2 linked regions of the Neodiprion lecontei genome follow. The protein of the gene in region 1 purifies or fractionates together with the protein of each later gene. This does not show direct contact. Links are inferred from orthologs where the notes say so. Each region holds a gene or a part of one and is shown on either strand. Other genes may lie near its edges.

Region 1 (5,233 bases):
GTAGTGATTGTATGAATTAGTTACAATGATATTTCTTTGTTCAAAATTTTTATTAATAAGTGTTCCGATGTAACAAAGATATGTCAAAATGTTAGCTGAGATCAGGATTCAACGATTTGGCAGCAATCAATGTAATACGCATAATTATATCTTCCAAGAGCTTGAATTAAATAACGCCACGATTCTCTCAGCTCTTTGAAGTCTACTTAAGGAGTAGGATCTGATAAGGCTCTTTTTCGCGCATTACAACATGTAAAATATACTGACTGCCGTGGTGATACAGCACAAATCATAATGCTATAACCTATATTTAATGCATATAGCGCACATTAAAATTTCTTAGACTGAAGCCATGATTTTGGAATATCTTTGGCCAATTTACAAAATAGAGAAATACCAAATTCAAATCAGATGTGTAATATGTAAAGGAAATCGATCGACTGAGATTATAAACCATATAGAGAGATATAATGTACTAACAATTTGATATTATTTAAATTAAATATTTACCTGGATCTAATCTTGATATCCGAAACATCTGTATATTTACTTATTTAGTCGTTGTCTAGTCATGCCATTATTATTATTATTATGAAACCGTGTGTAGTATAATATAATAAATATCTAATTTAAGTACATAACAAGCATTTGAATACGTACATAGTTCTATATGCATAGAAATAAAAATCAATACAATGTTTTGAAATAATCATGTTACAGCTAATAAATAGTATATGAAGTGTTGAAATTTGAATTGTAATAATATTAATCATGATAGAATATTATAACAGTTCTATAATAATCGTTTGGCTATGCAACAGCAGAGTGCTGGAATTTTTCGTTCGATATTTCAATTCAGACAAGATTATAATAAAATAATCTTAATGTCAATCACTTGACAACAGTTACTATCAGTATATTTATACTTCATCTGACAAAATTTTTAACTGATTCGATCGCAATATAAAGGAAATCATTATGTATATGATTAATGAGTAGCCAAATCAGGGTCTCAATTATTTTATTTCAGTGATCTTTATTAAACTCGTGAGACAAATTATCAGTATATGGTTGATATAATGTATCCAATAAAGGCGCTCGTGAGCAATTGCACAGCCACCAGCCCAATGAATAATAGTATTGCAACATAATCCATCTTAATATTTGGATTTGCAGTTTCGAAATTTGGTTCGCTAGGATGAATTCTTAGGGTATTCGGCCGAAAAGTCCGTATGATGTTCTCTTCCATTCTAGTTTTTTACCTGTATATATATGATAATCATTATGGTATATTACTTTCACAGAACTGGGTGCATGAGTTGTCAAACGTCGTTTAAAATTCTCATTATAATGTTCACCAAATTCAATCTTGAGTAGCTTCTTTTACAATATAAACTATCGATTGACGCTCAGATACAGGCTTCAATATTTATATGTATATTTATTATTACGAGGTTATTTGAAGAAATTCCATAACACAAAAACATTTGCAGGTATCCCAGCAACAACTTTATGGGGTTGAATACATTTCTTTGACCAATGGTGCTGCATTTGGTTGTCAAGCGTTGACTGAAACTAAATTTTTACGAATTATCTTAGAATGGAAATTTCTCCGAGTTTCTTAGTTTTCCTAAGAACCCTCGACTGTATACAGTACAGAATTTTTCTCAGAAATGTTAGAAAACTATCTATCAAATTTATCAACAAAATTATGAGAAATATCTGAAAACTTTTCCCCAAAGGAAGAACGCGGATGAGGGGATTCGGACCTCGTACTAAATTTTGTGAACAATTTACCACCTTTGCGGATTGATTAACCAGTTACAAAAAAATTCGAATGACCAACGTTCAAATCCGGTGCGCACGCGTAGAGATATAATCTGTAATACGTATAACGGTTAGGCATTTATTCCAACAACTCGACCAATGAAAGCCCGTTAATTTAAACTTTCGAACGTTCTTCCCCCACTATAGGGCCTTCGTTCGTCGGGTGGCTGGGCTCTATACAGGATGCGAATGAACGAGCAGTCAGTATTGAGTCGGTATTCAGTACCCAAATGAACGGCAAGATCACGTTTAACTTCGGAAAATATATCGTCGCAACAAATTGCACGGGCCGGTACATTGGAAGACAAACTCGTATCTCGTTTGAAAAAGGATAATAAATAACCGATGAAGTTCTTTCCACAACTGTGAAGTTCGACAAGTTTATGATCAGAATCGAAGGAGATATTGACGTTTTGAATTTCATCGGTGATCCCACTTCAGTGAGCGTAGTAACGCGTAAAATGGCGGTTGCATTTGAATGCAACGGTTGTTGACAGTTTGAAGAGTTCGGTTGAAGGGCGCGGCGTGCGTTGATATTATTGCACTTATTTCCCGAGATAAATAAGTATATTCGCGTCGCTCTGAGCTCTTCGTAGGACGGAAAACGTCGGGTCACGATTTCAAGCGTGCGTGCTGAAATTTTCTAAATTTCTGCCCAAAATTAAACAATGGATCCCTTCACTCAGGTAAGCGACGCTATGCGGAATTATACCTGATCCGAGGCATTATTTGTCTGGAATTGAATAGGATTGTAAGATACAAACACGTGTTGACCGTTGTGATCCTAAAGAAAATTTATGAACCAGGTAGCCTGGTCCCAACAATTTCACGATTGAAAAACTCTTACTATCTTGACAGTTTAGAAAGACTTCGAAGAAGTTGGGTTTGCAAAATCTGAGTCTGCATAGTTTTGTCACGTCTTATTGAATTTCAGACCATACTAATTTTGTGAAATAACTATTTCACATGAATATGCATCGTTAGGATAACGTTATGAACTTTAAACTCATATGGACTGTTGCATTTCTCTGTGGTTTAATCTTATTCAGCAATACTAACACAAAGCGAAATTAGTCTTGATCGAATTGAGTTGAATCAAGTGTAAATATAAAGCAATTAACCCTTAACATAGATCGAGATTTTAGGTTATTGTTGCATTCTGCGGACACCAATTCGTCTAATTTTAATAAAGCTTACTTTGTCTAGACAGTAATCAAAGGCTCTCGAATTTGTTTGACACATTTTTCACACTTCTCGGTTAAAAACAAAGATATGGTGCTATTAAAATTGTTGTCCACGACTGGGCTTTTCTCGATTTTTTCTGCTCCTCTGTGTTCAGATAATATTGTTTTAGTTAAATTAAACCTTATCAACCTCAACTACTAGGTCTGAGACCCCTTTTCATTATTTTAGCTGCTCAAAACTTTCCTGGCCAGATTTTGTACTTGCTAATTAGGGAAAATAATCCCTTATGTTTCTTCTGCATGTATGAAAAGTCTAAATAGAAGTGAGAAAAGTACAGAATTATACCTCTTACTGTTTTATTATGCTAATCTACTACCATCATCGTGTGAATTATGATATCCGAGTTTTTTGGCTTACTTTAGCGAATGTTGGAGCGTGCGAAAGCAAGGAGGGAAAAATTAGACACGCAATTGTCAAATGCTGGTCATGATCCCAAAAAGAGGCGCAGTCCACTGAAGGATGCTAATGCCATTTTGGCACAGGCTCCAGGTACGTTAATTCATTTGTGTCTCTCATGTTCAATTTGCATTATTTGATGTTGTATTGTGCCTTTTAGTACTGGAACACAATGTGGCAGCTAAACCAGTGGTTAAAGATTCTCCCGTTAAGCAATCGCCGATTAAATCACCGAGAAAATTTTCTCCTACTAAAATTCCTATCACAACTCAAGAAGGCAAAGTATCCAACAAAGAGAATGGAGAGACTCAAATATCCGGTGTCAGATCCAAACTACAAAGGCTGGGCAAGCTATACTCTGGTAAGTTGTTGCTTGGTTGGTGCTGTCACACCTACACACATTGATATCATAAACTGGTTCCTGCATACAATATAGATATGGTACTACTATGGCAGATGCCATAGCATCTATCTGTAATAAGTACCGATCACAATATCTCATACCTTTTAATTATCACTATATTCCCAAGTGAGAGAATTATTGGAAAGTTCTCAGAATTTTTTAAATGAATTTTTCAGAAATATATCTAGTTTTTGGACTGTCCTAAGCAAAATTCTGTAGTACTTCTGGAATAGTTTGAATTATTCTATCAGTCTAAGGGATTTGAAGAAATTCCACAGAGTTTTTAAAGATCTGATAAACTTGAGATTTTTGTCTTCTAGACTGTCTCTGTCCAAGTGAAGTTAGAGGTGAAAATTGTACCAATTTCTATGAGAAACTCAAGTTTTTTTGAAACTCCATTTTGCATTACAAATCTGAAAAAATCGGATTTCTGGTGTTCCTGTATATTTTTTGAGCATACTTCGGTATGGAATTTCATAGGAAACAGTTGCATATGAATGTTTCTGAAATGCCATTGAAAAATCTGGATATATCTAAAACAATAATTTTAGTCAAACTAGAAGTGTGAAAATTTTTGACAGTAATTTTTAATAAATATCGAAGTTTTTCGATAAACCTGTTGAAATTAATTTTCTGCACAGAAATTGAGATACTTCGGAACAACTCCTAGGAATTTATGCGAATTTGTCTGAAATATTTTAAGCGAAATAGAAAATCTTTTAGAAATATGCATTCTGAGTAAATTTTTAGAAATTACTGAAAATTTCTGAAAATATCTTTTGCCTGCGAAACAAAAGTAATGATTTGTGACTTAAGTTTTATGACTTGAAGTGAACAGAAAAATCAGATCTAAGTCAATGAGATATCCTAATAACAATAATAAAATCTGACAACCATCAAAACTTGGATGTAAAAAATGTTTTCCTGTTCGAGAAATTTCAGGACAGAATATCGTAAACTTTCAATCTTTTTATTACCTATTCTTTTCAGTAGTTAAGATTCATTTGGAGTTTTGATTTATATTAGAAAATATTGAACAGTGTTTTAGTATAGCTTTGAGGATTGCAAATGTGATGTATCGAATTACTTGAACATATATTTCTTCAGAGGATTGCAGCCGTGAGTTGAGTTCGCCAATTCACAGAACAGAGGAAAAATTTGCAATTGAAGAAGAGTCGACCGATCGAAAAGCTGCTAAGCCAGGTGCAAGATTGGGCAGACTCGCTGCTTTGGCTTCTACGATAAACAATTGGGAGGATGACCTATCTCATCCAACACTGGTGAGAAACTTGACGAATACTTGTACTGAAATGTTCACATTGTTTTTATCATAAAAGAGAGAGGAAAGTACTGAATGTGGAT
Region 2 (5,290 bases), on another chromosome or scaffold:
TGGTTAGGGTTCATTCGAGTATTAGCTAACGTATTTTTTGCGAATTTTTGCATCCCTCCCCTAGTGATAATGTTTGCTTCTTTTGCCCACTACTATTTTTTAACGTTAGCTAACGCGTTTTCAAAAGTTTATTGGCAAATCGATTCCATACCCGGGAATGCCAGGAATGCCATTTATAGTCAAATCCTGATCAATTTATTCCTACATTATTAAATATCAATTATTATTAATTGTTAATACACATTAACGTGTTCAGTAAAACATGAATTGATTATTCATTGAGTATTAAATACATTGTACATTGTTTTTCTTCTTAAATGCATGCAATAAACATGATATTTGGTAACAATAAGATATAATTATTGAGTAATTAATGCATTATTAACACATCCTTTTTAAGAAACATTTCTATTATTCTCAAGCAGGCAGCGTCTTGGCTTTGAGCACGCACTTCGAATTTCCTATGTCAGTTAACGCTTGCCTGGAATGCCTACTATTATAGGGTAAAATTTGACAACGTTTCTCTAAATGGCCCGCCCCTGTTTTAGCGTTAGCTTATACTTGACTGGCCCCGTAGCTTACAAACCCAGAATAAACAAACTGCTGTAAACAAAACTCGCGCCTATGTATAAAGTACAGGTATATGATAGGTATGTATAGGTATGTATTAACATACATGTGACCTATCGTATTGAATTAGGTTGATAATTGTCAATACATACCTCATTTTTCGTTCTCGAAGTACAAACAAACCATCCATGCGGCGAAGATTGCACCGAAATGTGTGTATCAATAGTGTAAATAATGAGATCATCTACTGTCATTTTACAAATAATGGCTATGTGTATTTATGTATAACGATAAGAATCCTATTTGGGTTGTGGTCCGAAAATTCGATGAATTTCTAAAATGCGTTTTTCATGCCAATAGCTTGGGTAACGTTAGATAAAATAAAGCGCTGCAAAGTTAAACCCTCGACTATTAAAAAAAACCGGTATCGGATGTTTAATCAGGGGATCTTTTTTCCGACATTTCACGAATGGCCTGTATTGTAAAAACTCTCTGCGAGGGTTGTTAATCCTCGGTGGAGCAAATGCAGTGTCAACACGCCTGACGGTCCCCATTCTGTGCGTATACATATAATACACGTAAAAGGAGGTTATCTTGAAAGGAAAAGGTCGTCCACCATGAGGAGGGAAAAAAAAACTCAACCTTCGTTGCAGCAGATAAAGCAGTGGTGCAGTTATAAACGAAACATGGGTTGCTCGTCGGTAGGCGATATAAGTTTCCATTTGCGGTAATCTCCGTTTATTCACGAACAACGAGGCCACGAGTTTGAAAAGTAAAATGTCAATTTACCGACCGAGTGTCGGACACCTATTTTCTCCCCCGAGTCGTTCCCGAGTCAAGTGAAATCGTTTCTTAAACTTAGAGAAATCATTACAGAGTTTGCAATTGTGCTTGGTTATAAATAATGGTGATTGAAAACAAAGTAAATATCTACACGATACGGTTGATTATTCAGCAAATGTAGAAGAAAGAATTGTAAAACACGCTCGCCGAAGGAATGTAAGTTCTATGGGTAACACTGGAAGGTCCGACGCAGGGGCGTGACTAGACATTTAGAGACCCCGAGGTAAATCATGAAACATGTTCTTCTGGACCCTCCCCTCCCATGCTCAGTAATTTACTCCCAATAAAACAGTAGAATATTTGTTATATACATTCTATTTACTGTAAACTAAAACTACCATTTATCCAAAGAAGATGTCTCACATCTTTGACTATACAGTCGATATAACTATTAAATTTGTTACAATATTGAATTGAAATAAGTATTTGAAACGGAAAATATTAGAAGTACACTAACAAGTTGTTAGATTGGTTAAAATGATGCATTCCGGCATCTGATGGCAAACTAATGAACTATGACCAAACCTTGCGAAATGCATTTGAAAACAGTACGAAATGATAAAAGCAAAACATCACGATTACGAATCCGAATGAAATGTTACTTCATTTTTTACCCCCGTCTTGGGGGCCCCCGGGCATTGCCCCAGTCTAGTTACGCCCCTGCCCCAACGGTCCGACACCCCTTGAATGCTCCATTATCGCTCGCCCCACGCCTATGGCCCGTCGAAATTAGGGATGGCAGCACATGCGCTGAGGGTTGCAACGGCGTGCTGCGGCGACTCGTGGTGGGGGGTGCAGTGGCGTAGCGATAATTCCCTGCCCCCACCGCGTTTAGCAGCTGCGTCAGGCGTGGTCGTCGTGTTCGCGTCGCGAGTGAGTCGACGGCAATTCGGCATTCAGCGCGAGTGAGTCGCCGTTTGGTTCGCCGCTGACTGTCAGTTGGACCGACGCCGACAGAGGCAAACACGTTCGTTGTCGAGAAGTTTGTCGCGCATAGACACGCATTGTGCGAAAAAGTTTGGTCAAAGTTACCGGTTGACAGGAGGCAGCCTCCGTCTATTGTTTGTTTACGTTTTATTTTACAATCGTTACCATTTCGACAAACAACGATCGACTATCGGTTTCTCTGTATTATACACGCAAAACAATGCAACGAAAAGTGAGAGTGGTCTCGTCCTCGTCGTTTCTTCGCTTCGCTAGCACCGTTCGTAAGACGTGAATCACCTGGCGTGGCAAATTTTATCCACACAAACAACAGTGTCGAAGGTCCTGCCGCTGGCTAACGTTGATACTAAAGTCTGCTGGTGCCGCTTATTCTACGGCAAAAACGGGGCGGTTGAAAGACGATTTTTAAGCCATCGTGATAACATACCATATATGTGTGTATAGCAAAAGCCAATTACGGGGATGTATTTTGTCTGTTGTGACAAGTGAATGAGAAGATAATAAGTGCGGTAGTCTTATAAAAGGGTTTTTTGCTGTGTCGGCGTTCGAATACGAGACATATTCAACTAACGAACGGACATTACCGTTTTAGTCCTGGTCAACAACTCTTGCATGTTGTCGACGCCAATCGTTGAAAAGCCGCATCGTAGTGACAATTCGGTTATTCTATTCAACCCCAAACTTACGTTACGCGCCGCGGTGGGTAATTTGAGGTTAAGGAAGCGACGTCGGGTGATTAATAACTCGATAGGATTTGGAATATCTGTCGATTATACCAGTCGATAAGGGACAAACGGATAAAGCGAAAGCCGTGAGAGCAGTAACGGGTCGAAACCGTAAAAGTTCGGAGTAGAACGAACGGAGCGCGGTGAAGTGACCAAGAGACGAAGAAGAAGAAGAAGAAGAAGAAGAAGAAAAGATGTCGGTGGAGAACCAAAACGGCACCGCGACTGCCGTCCCATTGCAAACGAATGGGATAAAATCTTCGATAACTAGCATATCGACTACCTCGTCGTCGGTCGTCTCGGTTGGCGGCCGGACGATACCAAACAACTCGTCCTACCTTTACAGCACGAGCTCGGTACTGAATCGCGAAAAAACTCGTCAAGCACCGCCCACCTTGCCAAAGTACACGTCGAGCTTCAATGCCGGGACTAACGGCAATGCCGAAAGACTCGCCAGGGAACGAGAGTCCGGCGGCAGTTACCGACTCGCCAGTTTGGACAGACTGGCCCTCAGACAAAGGATATTGGAGGGCGAGGGGAAACCGAACGGCGACGCCGCATCGACGGTAAGGATTTTGATAATCGGATGCGGCCACGACACCGTCCTTGGACCCACGATTGAAATAACTTTGTCTTTCCTCGAGCGTTGTTTTCTTGTCCATTCTTTGGTACTCACAAATCGCTCCTCGACACGGCTTACTACGGAGGTGGTTATTTCACCCCCTTAAATTGTTTGATGACGGGTAAAAAAAAAATACGTAGTATACTGTAACGTATTAAAAAAGAAATCAAATCGGAGAGATTGACCTGGGATACCCTCCTTTGTTTTTCCTTTCATGACTGAAAAGAAGGACGAATTGGAATAATATTACGTATCGGTAGTACATGTACCGAGATCGAAGAAAACGAACTAACGAAACGATTTCAAACTTTGGCTTTTCAGCGCAGTTCTGGGAAAATTCTCGTACTATAAATATTTGTTCAATCGTAAATTAGGTTCCTCGAGTTAGGTTAGCTTCTACGTAAATATAAGTGTACTTGGAAAACACTATCACTGGGTAAGTCGACCGCATTTTCTTAGACCACAAAGTACCTGTATGGATAGGAAGATTTCGAATTGTAGTCATGCTGATACGAGAGGTTGAAATTCGATACTTTCGTACGACGAAGATCATACATTTTTTTCATGTTGAAGTTAGCAACGATTCGTGCTGAAGGAAAACCGTTATTTCGCGATTTTGAAACTCTTTGAAATTCAGTAAAACGTGATTAAACAAAACATACTCATATTTTGCAAACTTAGTTCCTTCAAAGTCATTGTAAAAATAAGAAAATAGTGATTTTTTTCCAATGTTTCGTTATGATGACGCTGCTAACTTCAACCTTGTAAATTTTTGGGAATCATTGTTATTTAGAAACTTCGGTATTGCCTGAAATACGTTACGCTGCGAGCAATGCGACAAAGCACAAAACATTACACCAAGTACTCGTATTACTGCAAACTCAACTAGTTCAGTGATTCTAACAACTTGCATATAGTGTTTTTTTCGCGACTTCGTACGTTATGAGGTTGAAGTTAGTAACGTTATCGTAACGAAAGATTGGGAAAAAACGTCACTATTTTCTTATTTTCATAATGATTTTGAAGAAACTAAGATTGAAAAATATGAGTATCTTTTGTTTTACATGTTACGGTTTACTGAATTTCAAACAGTTCTAAAATAATGGAACAACGGTTTTGTCATCAGCATGAATCGTTACGATAACGTTACTAACTTCAATGCGATGTCACGTTAACGCAACGATCCTCAACCTCAACCGTAACGCATACAATTCCTAAAATCTCCGAAAAAATGTCGCTTTAATCAGACTGAAGTTAGAAATCTCGGTCTAAAAAATCAACATAATTGGTCAATTTAAAAATGACTTTCAAGGAATTTGCTATTCAAAACTACAGTGTATTTAACGCACCAGTAGAATTGTCTGAAATTCAGTAAACCACGAACCGAAAATAACTACATTTTTCAAGAGCTAACTCTTTGAAAGTCGTTCTAAAATTTCAACACAATGAATTTCTTCCTGATGTTTCGTAACGTTAACGTTCCTTACTTCAACCTCTTACCAACTTCGTCCTCACGAGTAGGTATCAAGGAAATTCTCAATTCTCGAAACGACGCCGAGACACCTGGTGTATTACGTATACTACA

The links.
Region 2: the proteins of anillin (region 1) and septin-7 purify together in Drosophila melanogaster (affinity purification with western blotting; 3 studies listed by BioGRID, with this or other methods). This does not show direct contact. The link is inferred for Neodiprion lecontei from reciprocal best matches to the Drosophila melanogaster genes scra and pnut.

The regions. Positions count from the first base shown.
Region 1 is NC_060261.1:15,614,616-15,619,848, reverse strand, and holds the start of anillin, read left to right. Parts: upstream 1-2,005; 5' UTR 2,006-2,495; coding exon 2,496-2,513; intron 2,514-3,434; coding exon 3,435-3,561; intron 3,562-3,628; coding exon 3,629-3,829; intron 3,830-4,978; coding exon 4,979-5,151; intron 5,152-5,233. UniProt on the Drosophila melanogaster protein: Required for cytokinesis. Essential for the structural integrity of the cleavage furrow and for completion of cleavage furrow ingression and proper formation of the midbody.
Region 2 is NC_060260.1:40,094,703-40,099,992, forward strand, and holds the start of septin-7, read left to right. Parts: upstream 1-2,283; 5' UTR 2,284-3,277; coding exon 3,278-3,649; intron 3,650-5,290. UniProt on the Drosophila melanogaster protein: Involved in cytokinesis and possibly cellularization. Also acts as an enhancer of the sina gene, thus having a role in photoreceptor development. May be involved in p53-dependent apoptosis.